Ovis aries: one gene and its partner. The protein of the gene in region 2 purifies or fractionates together with the protein of the main gene of each other region. This does not show direct contact. Links are inferred from orthologs where the notes say so. Each region holds a gene or a part of one and is shown on either strand. Other genes may lie near its edges.

Region 1 (7,953 bases), on a different chromosome or scaffold from region 2:
AGTTTCCAACACTGTGCCATGCTACAGTGGGAAACAAGTGAGATAACAAAAATCCCTATCTTTATTGAGCCTATATATACATACATATCAAATTCTGCATTTAATTCAGGGGGTCCATGGAACACCAAGAAAAGGTCCATAGATCCTAGCTTCTCAGCCCTGCTCTATTTGTTTCTATGCTCATTTCTTCTCAGCCTTTGTAATTCCCAATTGACATGGTTATCTGAGTACTCAGCATTTTCTCTTCCATGGCATGCTAAACATCTGATAGATGACCTTTCCAAAACTGTACACTCTAGGGCACTGTGGAGATTGTCCCCTGGCTCCCTAAGACAGGCACATCTGGGTTAAGGATGCAGACTCACCATTGCTGATGGGTTGGTCTGCCGCTCCCGTTCTCGCCTGATTTCACTCTCAATCGATTCACGAATGGCCAACTTGCAAGCACGTTGGCAAATCTCGGTCAAATCAGCTCCAGAGAAGCCATTAGTCATTTTAGCCAGGAACTCTAAATCCACATCCTAAAAGAAGCAAGAGAGCTACCTTAGCTTTTAGCCTCTTTTGATACACTGATCTTTGAGCCACCAAAGCACTCCCAATTCCACTTTGTTCCATCCTCTGCCACCAGTTTTATTCCTTATTCTAGATATCTTAATACCCTCAAATCTTCCATCTTTCCTTTTCAACCATAACCCCAGAAATCCCCAATGGAACCTTGTCCAGGAACCAAGGAGCATTCCACACAGCCTGCAAATTCACGACCCTGCAACCCAAGACCTTGCACCTGCCTTGGCAACTGGGGACTTGCGCAGGTTGGCCTTGAGAATGGCAACACGGGACTTCTCGTCGGGAAGTGGGATATAGATGAGCTGATCAAGGCGGCCAGGTCGCAGGATGGCAGGATCAATGATGTCAGGTCGGTTGGTAGCGCCAATGATAAATACATTTTTCTTTGTGGACATGCCATCCATTTCTGTCAGGATCTGGTTGATGACTCGGTCAGCAGCCCCACCACCATCTCCAATGTTGCCACCACGGGCCTTGGCAATCGAATCCAGCTCATCAAAGAACAGTACACAGGGGGCAGCTTGGCGTGCCTGTGAGAGACAGATGGACTTGAGCATTAGCACAACTGGGTCTCTCAGACCTGAGGAAAAATGGAAAATAAAGTGACCTTCACTGCCCTAACTGAGCTGTCAGAATGGGATGGTCTTAACTCTCCCAAAGAACAACCTCTACCCCTAACTTGTTCCCAAGCAAGTGAACTGATAGCCCAGCCACTTGTAGCTCACCTTGTCGAAGATTTCCCTCACGTTGGCCTCAGACTCCCCAAACCACATGGTGAGCAGCTCAGGACCCTTGATGGAGATGAAGTTGGCCTGGCACTCATTAGCAATGGCTTTGGCCAGCAAGGTTTTCCCACAGCCAGGAGGTCCATAGAACAGTACTCCCTTGGAGGGTGTCATGCCAAACTTGAGGAATTTGTCTGGGTGCTCCACAGGATACTAGGAAGAAAAAGAAAGAGGATTCAGGGCTATCTCCCCCAGTTTGAGAGAAACCCAACCTAACAGAAGCATCCTCCCACACCATCTCATGGTGTAAGGTGACAGGATTCTTGGTGCTTCCAACCTCAGAACAGCAGGTTCCTGAATCATGCTCATAATTTCTGCAATCAATGTGTCAACACCCCAATACCACCAGCTCAATGACAATGTGCTGAAGCAGTGACCCACCCTGGACCAAGCACCCTACCTGGACCAGCTCCTGAAGCTCACGTTTGACATCCTCCAAGCCCCCAATGTCCTCCCAGGTCACCTGAGGCACCTCTACCACAGTTTCCCGCAGTGCTGATGGGTTGCTCTGGCTCAGGGCCCACTAAAAAGGGAAGAAAAATTGGGGATGAGAATTGCCAGGCAAGAGATCAAAGTGCATGTGTGTGCACCTGAAATGGAGAGCGGCCCTTACTCGGAAGTCGTCCATAGTAACTGCCAGGGAGTTCATGACCTCAGCATCAATGGTCTCATCTTCTAGGTCAATGAGGTCCATCTTCTTGCGGATGGCTTGCAGAGCAGCCTCAGAGCACAGGGCTGCTAAGTCAGCTCCCACGTGCCCATGAGTCTCATTAGCTACCTGCAGAGAGAAGATCCACTTACTCTCCTGCCTCTGAGACCTAGCTTAGATGTCTCTATTCTGGCTTAGATAACAGAACCCTGCCCTCTTCCTCTGACTCCTATCTCTGGGTCCTCCATTTCCCTAAACTCATACCAGCAGCCCTTTCATTAGCTGGACTCTTAAGTATTCAAGCCTGCACTTGGGGCCTGGAAATAAAGCTGCCCCCAATATTCTGGTTCACCCTAATTCAGTAAACCAAGAAAAATGCCAAACCTAGTTTCCTGGATTCAATCTCAGATCACTTCCCTTTCCCTGCCCAGGAATTAAAATCAATCGCCTCACATCTGAAGCTTCTGTCCCTAGTCAGTTCCCTTCAACTGTCTGGCAACAAGACATCCGAACTTCTGGCCAGCCCTCATCAACATGCCACCTGTTCAAGGTCCACATCATCTGCCAGCTTCATGTTCTTGGTGTGGATCTGAAGAATTTCCAAGCGTCCGGTAGCGTCAGGGATTCCAATATCCACCTCTCTGTCAAAGCGACCTGTGAGATGACGCATAGACAGGGATCATTTCTGGTGCATAGGGAAGAAGGGCCCAGGCCTAAGGCATCCAACCATTCCACTGTGACCAGGAAATGTCTGGTGTTAGCACTGAAAGCCCCATAACTTGGGAAATCCCTCAGTCTCAGGCAAACCAGGATGCGTGGTTACCCTGGACATGACATGGAATAAGGGAAAGAAAGGACTTTACTCTTTGCCTAACTGCAAAGGGCTTCATGAAATCCTCAAAAAAAAAAAAAAGAAAGAAAGAAAAGAAAGAAATCCTCAGGATTAGGTGACTTAGATGAAGGACAGATATGGGATCAACAGGATTAAGCCCACTGGAGACATAATCTCCACATGAGCAAAGACAGCAAGAAGAGTTATTTGGGGTCCTTACCAAATCGCCGTAGGGCTGGGTCAATGCTGTTGGGTCTGTTGGTTGCTGCCATAACAATGACATGTGCTCTTTGCTTTAGGCCATCCATGAGGGTCAACAACTGTGATACAATACGTCGCTCTACCTCCCCATGGGTCTGTCAGGACAAAATGTCTGGTCAGAAGTGAAGTCAGGACCTTTTACAACCCTACTATCCCCTTGGTTAAGTTCCTACTTTCTCTCTTTTGGGAGCAATGGCATCCAACTCATCAATGAAAATGATAGCAGGAGCATTCTTCTCAGCCTCTTCAAAGGCTTTACGAAGGTTGCTCTCAGACTCACCGGCCAACTTGCTCATGATCTCAGGACCTGAAAGCAAATAGAATGCATGCAGTGACAAAAATATATCCTTCCTCAATCTCAAAAAGTATTCGGATATCTTGTCTGTCTAGCTCAGAGACAGGTCCTGGGTGAGAATGTGGTAACATCTGCCTACTTTCTCACAGCCCCTACCAACAATTATCCCAGGGTAGCCACCAAGCCAGGATAAAAGGATGTCAAGGGGCTCAATACACTTATCTCAGTTGAGCTGAAAGGTATGAAGATGGTGACAGCAGATGCTGTGGGACCTCTGGCCAGAGCAGAAGCAGCACCGGTTGGACCCCTACCAGTGAAATATCATTCTCAAAGAGATAGTTGATCTCAGCCAGTCTTCCCCCAAACCCTCTCAAATAAGTAAGCATAGACATTTTGAGTTCTCATTCTAACTTACTCCTCTTTAATGTCTTTAGCCTATTAACGCTCTTTCTCAAGGTGGGATAGATCAAGGGACACCAGAGTAACACACCCTCCCCTTGCTGCTTATCTGTCTGCAATAGACTTTAGAATACAAACACTTAAGTATACATGAGGCTATGTACACAAATGAGCATGTCCATGATTTCTCCTGCTCATGAGACTGGGTCATGCTTAGCTCAAAGTGGAGTCCAGCCAAACACAAAGTGAACCAAGTCTCCTACCATTGATCAAAAAGAAGAAGGCGCCAGTCTCATTTGCCACAGCTCGAGCAATCAAGGTCTTCCCTGTCCCAGGAGGTCCATAGAGCAGGATTCCTCGAGGAGGCTGAGGACCAGTACAGAGGGTTGATTAGGTTCAGATTCTCATCTTCTCCCAACCCCAGGTACCCTAAAATGGCCTAAGAAGGACTCTATTTAAACAGGATGAGAATTAGAGCTCAACTCTGAATGAGCCCTCAAATAGCAGTTGTCAAGCAGTTGTCAGGAAGACACCTTACTTCAGACCATACTCCCTCCTCTTTGCAGCAGAGATAATAATGGCAGAAAGCTGACAATATTTATGAATACACAGGAGACAGACAGCAGAGAAACCACACTAAGAAACTCTTAGTATGAGTGAGTCTGAAGATCCGGGATCTAGGAAAAGTAAGAGGGCATTAGGCCAAGGGCCTGACTTTAAACAGGACTAGCTCAGCCATTTAAGAGTGTTGGCCAGAGGCTCATTCACTGCTATAATCACAGCCCTCCAGGATTTACTATCATGTTGGAATGCCTTCTCCTACCAACAGCCACAAGTTTTCCTCTTTGAAGCTGTCTTTTCTCTGGCTTCATCCACTGGAAGGATATGGAAAAGTACCCCCCAAAAAGATAAATTTATTTACACAATGTACACTAGGGAAAGGGATAGATGCAAACTTCATCTTCAGGGTGTCCTATGATACAGGAACAACTGGGATGTTACATTTTAGACCAGCAGTTCTCAAATATTCTGGACTCAGGATCCTTCACACTGCAAATTTGCTTTACTGTTATCGGGCAACACTTGGCTTCCCTAGTGGCTCAGAGGATAAAGCGTCTGCCTGCAATGCAGGAGACCTGGGTTCGATCCCTGGGTTGGGAAGATTCCCTGGAGAAGGAAATGGGAACCCACTCCAGTATTCTTGCCTGGATAATCCCATGGACAGAGGAGCCTGGCGGGCTACAGTCCACGGGGTCACAAAGAGTTGGACACGACTGAGCGACTTCACACACACACATTCTAGACAAGCTGGCAAACTATGGTGAGACTTTAAATAATAAATATTTAAAACAGACTATTTATATTTATAGGGTCCATTAGATAAAAACAGTCTTTACATTTTGAAGGTTGTAATTAAGAAAAAAAATTCAACAGAGAACTTAACTGACCTACTCTGTTCTAGACCATTAGTAGCTATAACGAATTTAGAGTGTTTTATAAACCTGAATATAGTACTTCCTCTTGAATCCAAGGCAATGATGAAACAGATATGAAAACAGGTCCTAGGATTAGATGGTGAGTAGTTGTTAATCACCACCCTAGGCTAACAGAGCCCAGAATACTCACCTTCACACCAATGGCCTTAAAGAGGGCAGGATGTCTCAGGGGCAACTCCACCATCTCCTTTATCTGAGCTAACTGTTTCCTGCAGCCACCAATGTCATCGTAGCCCACTTCATTCAAGGATTCTTCCTCATCCTGAAGATGGAAGAGAAAAAGAAAAGAAGATAAGAATGCTACTATCAGCAAAAAGAAAAGGAGAAGATAAGAATGCTACTATCAGCAAAAGGTGAATTTCTCTAAAGCTGGTTTACAGAATCTGCTGTATGAGAAGATTCTGCTCTAAGGGGATCATGCCTCAAAAAACAATTCAAAAAACCCCAGGGCAAGAATTTATTTATTTATATGGCCATGCTGTGCAGCTTGCGGGATCTTAGTTCCCCAACAGGGATCAAACCCACACCCTAAGCAGTAAGAGCGCAGAGTCCTAACAACTGAGCTGCCAGGGAATTTCCAATCTTTGCTTTTACTTTATATTTGTTTATTCATTCCATGACAAAGATTTCTAGCATAGCCTTTCCTTATTACATTGTCGTTAGTCTTATTGCGGTGGGCTCCCCTAAGACCTGAAGCTAGAAAGTGTGGGAAACGGGCAGGGATCTAGATGTCATATCAGCATCACTTCTTCAAAAATTATTTCAACCACTAGACTCATTAAGCTCAATCTAGATTTTAAAAATTATTGATATCAGATACTTCTAAAAAATACCTATGTCCAGAAATGAATAGCTATGCTTTCCACCTCTGGGAAGTAGCTTAACCATCAAGCCTGAGGATTCTTTGGAACTACCACACTACTGCCTTGCTGAGCACTCACAAAGTGGGATACTGGGATCAGGAAGAGAACTCACCTCTCGTTTGATAGGCTCCCCTTCACAGTGGATCACTGTGTCTGGCGCAACAATGCAATAAGGACTGGGATCTGTCTCCACTACTTTGAACTCTACGGCACGCATTCCACCCCGGACAAGGAAAATGTCTCCTGTGAGAGCAATCAGCACAAGAGCAGTCAGAGGTATCTATCACCAGACCAAGCTAAGAACTCCCCATCAGAACCTGGGATCTAGAATGCCAAGTTCACTAGATACTGTCCTTTCTCCTTCCCATCCACATCTTATTAAGCATCAGGCAAAAAGAGAAAGCTGAATTGTGAAAAGTCTCTCTGCCCCTTAAAAGACAGTGAATAAAACCTGATGTGCCAGGAAGAAACCCATAAGATTTTTGACTTCTGGGATATAGATAACCCAAGCTTGCACAACCACCACCAGCAGAACTGCGTTAAGTATTAAATACACTGTGGACTGTGATACACCCCAAATTGCCCACCTCTTCCTTCAGAGATACAAGAGAAGATAGCTTACTGTACTGGAGCAAACAGTGGGAATGGGAAAAAGGGAAGTGCAAGGAAGCAGGGAAGGAGAAAGTACACATGTACAGAATGTGTATGTATGCACACATGTATGAGAATAGACAAAGATGGACCAAGGTTTACTTTTGGGTATCCCTACAACAATTGCCCTTGAGTTCAGTCCTTAGAATTATTTCTCACCTTTCCGGATGGGTCGATAAGCTTCCAGGAAGTATGGCTTAAGGTAAACCTCAAAGAGATTGCCAGTGATGCCTTCCACCGTGTCATCGATGGGTAGTACATGGATGCGTTTGCCGTACTTCACATCAGGGCATGGCTGGATGCTGAGGATGACAAGCAGACTCCACATTACCAACCACATCGCAGCCCCAAGCTCTGGGTGTCCAAAAGGGCCTGGCACAGAGAGCTGATGGCGAGCGAAAGAGAAAAGGCAGGGATGGCTTTAGGTGAAGAGAGGCAAGAGGGTAGTGTTGGAGTGAGGGCAAAGCAACAGCCAAGCAGAACAGGTCATATGCAGGGTAGAGTGATAGGGGGAGCCTCTAGAAGAAGCTGCTGAGACTGCCCACTCACAATTGGTGAGGCAAAAGAAAGACCCACACATCTGGAATCCCCACGAAGACACAGAAGGGAAGGTCTTCAATGAGACATATCCAAGGATGACCCATTCTGGTTACTACTGGTAACCCAACACTACAAAAGGGGACCTTAGTCTGACAAGTGTCAGGGTCAGAGAAATACATGTGAAAAAATCATCTCAGTCAGGTGGTCAGAGCACCTTGAGAAAGTGACTAAGCACTTCCAGGAAGAAGGCTCCATAAAACCTAGAATCCCCCCCAAAAGAATCTGAAGCCTGAGATGTTCCTGGCCAGGTGACAGGTAGCAGTGGCCTGGGTAGCAGTGGCCAGGGATGACTTCAAGACGGAGAAACCTCTTGCCTAAAGTCTAATCACTCAAACTGGAACTATCCTAGGCCTGGCTCAAACTATGCCTCTCACCTCGATTAGCTTGGATCTTTATACAAACCTGCTAGGAGTCCACCTTCCATGCCCATACTCCCATCTCATTCTAGCCCTGACAAAAGCCATCAATGCAAGGCTATAAGCTTATTTGGCAGATACAGCCCTCAAATGGCATCCTAAACCAAGTTCTATGGTGTGACCCCTGGCAGAAAAAAAT
Region 2 (7,953 bases):
CAAACCTGTGTCTCCTACATTGGCAGGAATATTCTTTAGCACTGAGCCATCTGGAAGCCCCAGGCAGTCAATAGGTGTATTGAAATTTGCAATTAAAGAGCCGTAGAATAAAGTCAGTAGAATGGTGAGATTTAGAATCTCATTCCAAATCTTTGTCAGTCTGAATCAACTCGTCATTTTCGGCCCTCTTCTGTGGCCCTTACCTCATCACTAAGCTCCATTTTCCGCAGGGCCTGGATGGCAGCCTTCTGAATCACCAGGGATGGCTGTTCACTTCTGATACATTTCAGGACTGAAGATGTAAGTTTTGGGGTTAGTTGCTCCATGGTTTTACCAATATTTCCTATGACCTACATTGAAAATAAACAAGAGAGAATCAGGGCTCAGAAGGTGCAGTGAGGGGCAGACAGAAAAAGTGTGTCTGAAATGATGCCTATTATACAAAACCAACAAACAAAAAACTGAAAATACCCTCAGAATCAGGTAGGTGAGATCTTCGTTCCCAGTGCAGTCATTGCCAATCTGTTCTGACAGGTAATCAGCAATTTCCAGCAGGTCCTGTGTCCACGTAGGGTTTGTCTTATGATAGCTACAGAAGAAGAGTTAGGATTCAGCAAGCATAGCCAGGCTTATCTTAAAATATACACTGATGTTCGCTGATCTCTCATTTTAAGTCATTACTCTCAAAATTGACCATTAGACAAACGAAAGGGTAAGCATCAGAATTTGCAAGTGGAGGGAGGGTACAAACAACACTGACATGCGGGGTCTTCCTTTGCTCCTACGAGGAGAACCAGTGGAAAACTCACTTGTTGATCATGTGACTCAGAGCATAAAACGTGAGCCGGCTCTGCTGCACTCTTGCGGTGTTAAAGACCTCCCGCAGCCTCTCGGCCGAGGGCTCTGGGATCAAGGCCACCAGGTAGGTCACAGCATCTATCAGAAGGGGGTTGGCTCTCTCATTTTTCAGCCACTGGAGGATGTGAGTGTAGCACTGGGGCTGTCCACACTGAATCAAGGCTTGTAAAGTGATGGGGCTGAGAAGAAAAGGGCAGAGAAAGAAAGATCACCTTCTAGGCAGCTAAAACCTCCTTGGCCCCCAGGGTTCCCTCTGTCAGGAATTCCCTTATTCAAGATCCAAATCCAACCATCTTCCAAAATCTAACTCAGATCCCTAGAGAATAGAGAAGCCTTCCCCATAAGTAGCATCCACTGGAGAAGCACCATGGAGCAAAGTCCGAAGAAGGACCCCCTGGACTCAACACCCAGAGAGGACTGTTACCCTTTGGTCAGAAGATGGAACATGCCACATAAACACTCGCCCAGTCCCTTCTCTGACCTTCACAGCACTAAGACGGCACTGAAGTAAAGAGAAGTCACGGTATTATTTTGTTTGCTTGAGTTCTCTCTCCTCTAGCCTACAGGCTTCCAGAAAACACAGACTTCTTATCCTCTCTCACTTCCCAGGGTACTCATAGAACAAGGGATTAAAGATACCCATCAAAATGTGGGAAAGATTTCCCTCCTATCTCAACATGTAAATATTTATCTACCTTGAATGCAATGTACGTGTGTGTGTTACCCATGGAACTCGAGACACCTTAGCTGACATTTCTCTATCGAGCAAACATTTACTGACTGACTCAATTGATTAAATGGGTTGAAATTTCAATGGTTCCTGAGATTCTCTGGCTGAGGTCTCAGCCAGCTCCCATGGGCTCATAATCTATGAAGGTTTGAGTTGTGACTGCTCAAGAAATACCTGGACACCTCGATCAGCTTTGGCAAGAGGGAGGTGACTGCCTCACTGCTGAGGCCTCGCAGCTCGGTCACTAGTTTATGGAAGAGGTTGGCTCTCTGGGCATTCTGCTCAGAGACGTGCAGTTTCTGCAGCTCCTGGAGCGTCTTCACAATGGCCTCAGCGTGCTTTGGAGGTGACGTGGACCTGGTGCTCTCAAAGGCAAGACCCACTGCCTCAGTACCTGGAAGGAGGAGCGTGTCAGAGGGATTCCAGCTTACCCCTGCATCTCAGCCTCATCTTTCTTCTAGAAGCTGGAGATCCAGGAGGGGTCAGCAAGAGGAGGGTGGAGAAAAGAAGCCTCTCTTGTTCTGTTCTTAGTGCCTGTTTTGTGACTGGCTCTGGGCTAGGGGTCTGACTTCAGTGTTTCCCTAACTTGCCACTCTCTCCTTGTGATTAGCGTGAATATTGTGCACACCTGCTGTTGCTTCAGTCCTGTCTGACTCTTTGCAACCCCATAGACCGTAGCCTGCCAGGCTCCCTTATCCATGGGATTCTCCAGGCAAGAATACTGGAGTGAGTGCCATGGCCTTCTCCAGGGGATCTTCCCAACCCAGGGATGGAACCTGAGGCTCTTACATCTCCTGCACTGGCAGCCAGGTTCTTTACCACGAGCACCACTTGGGAAGTTCAGCGTTAATATTATTCCTCAATTTAAAGATAAGGGAACTAAGACCCAGAGGTGAGCCACTTACTGTGCCCAAGAGCTTAAAGCACATGCTGCTACCACCTGACATCACAGGTGGCTGAGAATGAGGTAGGGCACACGACTCATTGACATAAAGATAGGTGCAGCGCTGAGGTTGGACTAGAGGTTTCTCTAGTTCCCTTCAGCTCTAAAGACTGATTCCTGACCTTTCCCATTTGCCCTGCCTCGCTCAGGCCTGGCTGTCCAATTTACCAAAGGTGGACTTGGGAGGCCAGTTTCCTATTTCCAATATTATCCTATTTCCAGGGAGTGCTAGGAGAACTCTCCCCTTTCCTTTATCCCATTGCCACCTGACATTCTGAAATGAACAGGCTTTCTCAGTAGAACGGCCCATGGCCAGAAGCCCAGAGCCCAGGACTCTCACAGGGCCCAGCAAGGAGCTAAGCCATGGTAGGTACCTCATGGGCAGGTTTCCCAACCCTGGCAACCATGTGTACATCACACCTTACCTTCCTCAAAGAAGCGGCTGTTGATCTTAGGTGTGTCTTCAAGTTTCAAAGTCTGTGTGACCTGTGCCATCATCCCGTATTTGTTCCTGGCAACACAGGAATGACAGCATGTCGCGGATGGCCAGGCTCCCCGTAGCATCCTCTGCTCTTCATGTTGAATGTCTCCCCTAACTCCGCTCCTCCCCAAATCCTGCTCCCCTTTCAAACCATACTTATTTATATCCAGCTGTCCTTGACCGCCTGTGAACAGCAACAGCTCCTTCTGGTCATGCTGGCTGTCCTTCCATCAGAAGGACCCCTATACCTTATACTCTCCACCATTCCAGAGTGCCCAGAGGGAATGAACTAACACTAAGCTCCAAAATTCTTTTGTGATCTTCCATAGTTCAGTGCCAAGAATATAGATAGCAGTTACTCAGTCAACACTAGTTGACTGACCAGTTTTCAAAATGGATATGTAAGTCTCTAGGCCAATTCCAAAATCTTCTGTAAAGCCTTTCTAACCCGATCAGCTAGTAATGGTTCCAGTTTTTCCTGATCTCGAGCCCTTAAAGCCTGGATCTCAGATATCTTTTGTTGGTTTTGAATTGTTCCTCATGCCTAAGTCTTTCCTACCAAACGGCCTATTAGCTTGAGACAGGAGGATAGAAATACATTCTGCTTTGTACCTTTTCATACCTCCTCCCAGGCACAGCCTAGCTTGCAACAGGGCACCGAGAAGCATTCAGCTCTTAATGGCCCCATAAATAAGGAATCGGGGCTACAGCCAGGGACCTACTTGTAGGAGAAGGGCAGGAATAGGTGTTGCTCATTGCAGATGGCTTCTGACACGTGCTTCCTCCTTGGGTCCAGGGTGTACCGGCAGGACTGGCTGCTGCCAATCAGTGTTGACAAGGGGCGGGTCTGTGAATGGGATCAGGGGAAAAGCATTTTCATCAGGCCCTGGGGCTTGAACCTGAGTCTTCTCCCATGTGTATTTCCCTTCAGGGAAGAAAATGGGGGAACAGGGGTTCTGTACCACTAGATAAACTCAGCGAGAGAAGAGAGCTTCATACTTGACTTTTAGTCAAGGGGATGAAAACCCAAAAGCTGAGTCCAGCTGTAGACTTTTCTTATTTCACTCCAGGAGACTTCTGATCTGTACAAAGTATTTATAACCTGGAATCCAGCACATGGGGCTTCCTAGGTGGCACTAGTAGTAAAGAACCTGCTTGCCAATGAAGGAAACACAATGAAACATGTGTTTGATTGTTCCCTGGATTGGGGAGATCCCCTGGAGAAGGGCATGGCAACCCATGCCAGTATTCTTGCCTGGAGAATCCCATGGACAGAGGAGCCTGGCAGGCTACAGTCCATGGGGTCGCAAAAAGTCGGACACGACTGAAGCGACTTAGCATGCATGCATGCATCTGACATGACTCCCTGTCCTGCCACACACGAACACTTGACACCTGTTCCTACTGCTCCTTATGTTTTCTCTGCCTGGAATTTTTTCTCTGGAATCCCTTCTAGCTCTAACATTCCATAATGTTAATAATGAAGAGGCTGCTGCCAGTGTGCATAGCAATGCTGATGTGAACTTACCATGCCTCTAATCAAAGCGAGTGGGCTAACTCCCGTGCTAATGGGCTGGAAGTGATCACACTTCCTCAGATTTCTTTCAATGGATATTTCTGTTGCCACGTTTCCCTTCTTCGTTTTAACAGTAAAGTCTGTGGAGCAGTTTCCATACACGGTATCCTAGGGCAGCAGGAGATACAACAAGTGTACTCAACACAGGGAACCATCTTTAGGTGCTTGGGGTGGGGCTGGGAAAGAAGCCTGTAAGAAAAGCCTGTAAGAAAGAAGTCTGTAAGAAAAGAAAAGAAAAGAAAAGCTTTCTCCCAGATCTCCCATGGATCTGGGAGAAAGCTTCGTCCTCTTGGACAGAACGTGGGTGCGGTTGGTTCCTGGGCAGCCAGGGTGGGCGTGAGAAAACCTCTTAAGGGTGGTCCTGGCTCTTTGGCATGTACTCCAATCCGTTTTGTGTTGTATATGTCTTGGTTCTCCCCCCAGATCCTGAGACCTCCCGGTGTAGGGGCCCCTGCAGAATGCAGCAGTATCTGCTCCCCGGGGAGTGCAGCACAGAGCTCAGAACGTAGTAAGGGCTCAAAAGTGTTCACGGGACTGAACTAAACTGAACGTGTCCTCAGAGCAAAACCTGGGATTCTTAAAAGAGGCTAGCAAATAGTCAGTTATTTTCTGTGTTTAAAATGCACACAGGGGACTTCGTTGGTGGTCCAGTGGTTAAGACTCTGCTTTCCAATGCAAGGAGCACAGTCCCTGGTCGGGGAACTAAGATCCCACATGTTGCAGAGTGTGGCCAGAAATTACACACACACACACACACACACACACACACACACACACACACACACATACACACACACACACAAAGAGAGGCCTTACTGTGCTCTACCTTGTGGAAACATAACAAAATCAAACAGAGGGTAGGATGGTCAGGACTCCTCAGAAACTGCTGTAAAATTAGATCTAACCTGCTCAGGCTGTGTGGGCTGGGCCCTCAGTGAGCCCAGAGATCAGGGGAGCTCTGAGCAACGTGCTTCACACCAATACAGGGCCTCCTGTGTAACTAGCCACGCAGCTGAGTCAACGATCCAGTTGATGTATAAGTGGAACCCAGCTCCACTATGTGAGGAGGAGTTCAAAGGATCACTGTTATCAGCTTTTTAAATTCTCACCAGAAATAACACTTGCTTAGCCTTTTCCGTTTCTGGGGGAAGCAGGAGGGCAGAGATGATGCCTCTCTTGATGTTGAGGATGTGTTTAGGCTCTTCTTTCTCTGGGTAAAGTAGAACTTGCTTGCCTTCAGGAACAGCCAGCTTGAGGTCATACCTGGTGCAGAGAGAGTATGGTTACCAGGGGTTCCTTCTCCACCGTGAGCCATAGGCTAGGTGGCTTTGCAGCCTCCTTTTTACATCATTTTTTGATAAATATCAGCACATATACATATATTTTCAAAAAAGTATACAAGTATGTGTATGCTTCTGGTATTCTTTCTTTTTCTTTCTTTTCTTTTTTATTTTTTTGCTTTGCTTGGCTCACCCAGTCCCTCTCTCTCCCCATATGAGTCTCTGCAGTCACTCTCCCCACACAACACCCCACTGGGCCTTCCATTCATATCTCCACACTCACATGATCTTATACAGAAGCATGGGAGTGAAAACACCTTCATAGAAATAGTTTGTCATTGCTGGTTTTATCCAAATGGCATGGCATCATGCATACTTGTCTTTATCTTGTTCTTCTCATTTAATTCTACTCCATGAAAATCCTTGAGTCATCTGGCAGCACCCTAACAGATTCTCTTTACAAAGCTGCGTAACAGTCCACTCTGTGGTTATATATTCTTTATTCAGATCGTCTCCTATTTGATGGCATTCATCTTTTCTGTTCCTGGATGTTTAAATTTTTTTCCCCACCAACAACACTGATACAAACATTTTTATGCATCTATCTTCACATGTCACTACTTTTCTTTTTAGCTATGTCAAAGGCTCCAAGTATTTTCCATTATATTTACTAAGTTGACTAAAGGCACTCCTTTGCAGCAGCAATGTGTGAGGGTATGCTTTGCCTCACAGGCTTGCCATCAATAGGTACTATTGCTGTTTAAAGTTTCTGTAGTCTTATGGGTATAAGTGAGTATAACGTGATAAATATCTTGTTGCATTAATTTCATCTCCTGACCACCAGCGAGCTGGAGCTTCTTTCCATACATTTGTTGGACATTCCTTCACTTTCATATGATCTCAGGCTATGGTTAAAGCCTGAGTCAACTCTGATCATAGGGACCTTTCTTTGGGGACTTCCCTAGGGAATTTCAGAGAGCCTGGCACCCCCTGCTCTAGCTGAGTCAGAAGAAAGAAAAAGAGATGAGGGTTGCTTCCCACAGCCCTATATCCTCTCAGAAAATTCCAGACACTGTGACACAGGCTCACAGGAGAGCCTCAAGGTGGCCAAAAGCAGGAGTCTCTTTTGTTTGGAGGAGGGTAAGGACCAAAGCAGACTTCCCTGGTGGCTCAGATGGTAAAGAATCTGCCTGCAATATGGGAGGCCCTGTTCTCTGGGTTGGGAAGATCCCCTGGAGAAGGGAATGGCTACCCATTCTAGTATTCTTGCCCGGAGAATTCCATGGATAGAGGAGCCTGAAGGGCTATAGTCCACGGGGTTTTAAGTCGAACATGACTGAGCAACTAACAGACCAGAGAGCAACTCCTACTCCCTTCCATCACTGCGGCCCCACTCCCTCTGATGCTTCCAAGTCTTGGATGCAATAAGAGGCGCTGGTAAGAGACAGAAGCACCAGGGCCTATTTTGGCTTCCGAGTCTAATGTTTAACAAATTGAAAGACAGGCAGGGAAGGAGTGTCCATTGTTACCAAATCAACAACCCCATGACTGTATTTGCACACACTTAGGACAGTACAAGGGCTTTGCTGATGGTTCAGATGGAAAAGAATCTGCCTGCAATGCAGGCGACACTGCAAACTGTGATCTGGAGATGAGGCAGGGGTGATGTTCAAAAAAATCTAACAACCAGCACACTGTGAACACTGATCAGTCAGAAGCACTGCCAGCTGTAAGCAACAGGAAAGGTCTGGTCAGTGTGCACTGGCAGGACGCTGGCCCTGGAGGGGGACCCGCTCAGGCCGAGGCTCTCCCCGGACCCCCTGAAGCTAGTGTTCTCTGCTGAGCCGAGCCGTGTTTGGTCACAGCAAGTCCTGCCCGGACCCTCTCTGAGGACCACCAGGCACAGTCTTGTTTCATTCTTTAAACATGAATTCACTTGTTTAAACAAACCATCTCAGCTTTATTGTCTCAAAGAGTGCGAGATCTTTTAGAACCATATTTAAATGATAATTAGGGAAACTTCAGTAGGGGAGGGTAGAGACTGCTTCCCTCTTTTTGATTGTTGTGAAAACTCAGCAATTTCCT

Evidence for each region. Proteins that work in one complex are often made in the same cells at the same time.
Region 1: the proteins of APOB (region 2) and VCP purify together in Homo sapiens (affinity purification with western blotting, with the first as the bait; 3 studies listed by BioGRID). This does not show direct contact. The link is inferred for Ovis aries from reciprocal best matches to the Homo sapiens genes APOB and VCP.

The regions. Positions count from the first base shown.
Region 1 is NC_056055.1:53,404,139-53,412,091, reverse strand, and holds part of VCP (transitional endoplasmic reticulum ATPase), read right to left. Parts: intron 7,101-7,953; coding exon 6,958-7,100; intron 6,391-6,957; coding exon 6,260-6,390; intron 5,547-6,259; coding exon 5,415-5,546; intron 4,155-5,414; coding exon 4,052-4,154; intron 3,402-4,051; coding exon 3,268-3,401; intron 3,190-3,267; coding exon 3,054-3,189; intron 2,656-3,053; coding exon 2,543-2,655; intron 2,131-2,542; coding exon 1,966-2,130; intron 1,876-1,965; coding exon 1,753-1,875; intron 1,506-1,752; coding exon 1,293-1,505; intron 1,098-1,292; coding exon 789-1,097; intron 522-788; coding exon 366-521; intron 1-365. UniProt on the Homo sapiens protein: Necessary for the fragmentation of Golgi stacks during mitosis and for their reassembly after mitosis. Involved in the formation of the transitional endoplasmic reticulum (tER).
Region 2 is NC_056056.1:28,831,287-28,839,239, forward strand, and holds part of APOB (apolipoprotein B-100), read right to left. Parts: intron 5,852-7,953; coding exon 5,698-5,851; intron 4,697-5,697; coding exon 4,541-4,696; intron 3,860-4,540; coding exon 3,735-3,859; intron 3,043-3,734; coding exon 2,957-3,042; intron 1,983-2,956; coding exon 1,763-1,982; intron 1,038-1,762; coding exon 810-1,037; intron 590-809; coding exon 472-589; intron 351-471; coding exon 204-350; intron 1-203. UniProt on the Homo sapiens protein: Apolipoprotein B is a major protein constituent of chylomicrons (apo B-48), LDL (apo B-100) and VLDL (apo B-100). Apo B-100 functions as a recognition signal for the cellular binding and internalization of LDL particles by the apoB/E receptor.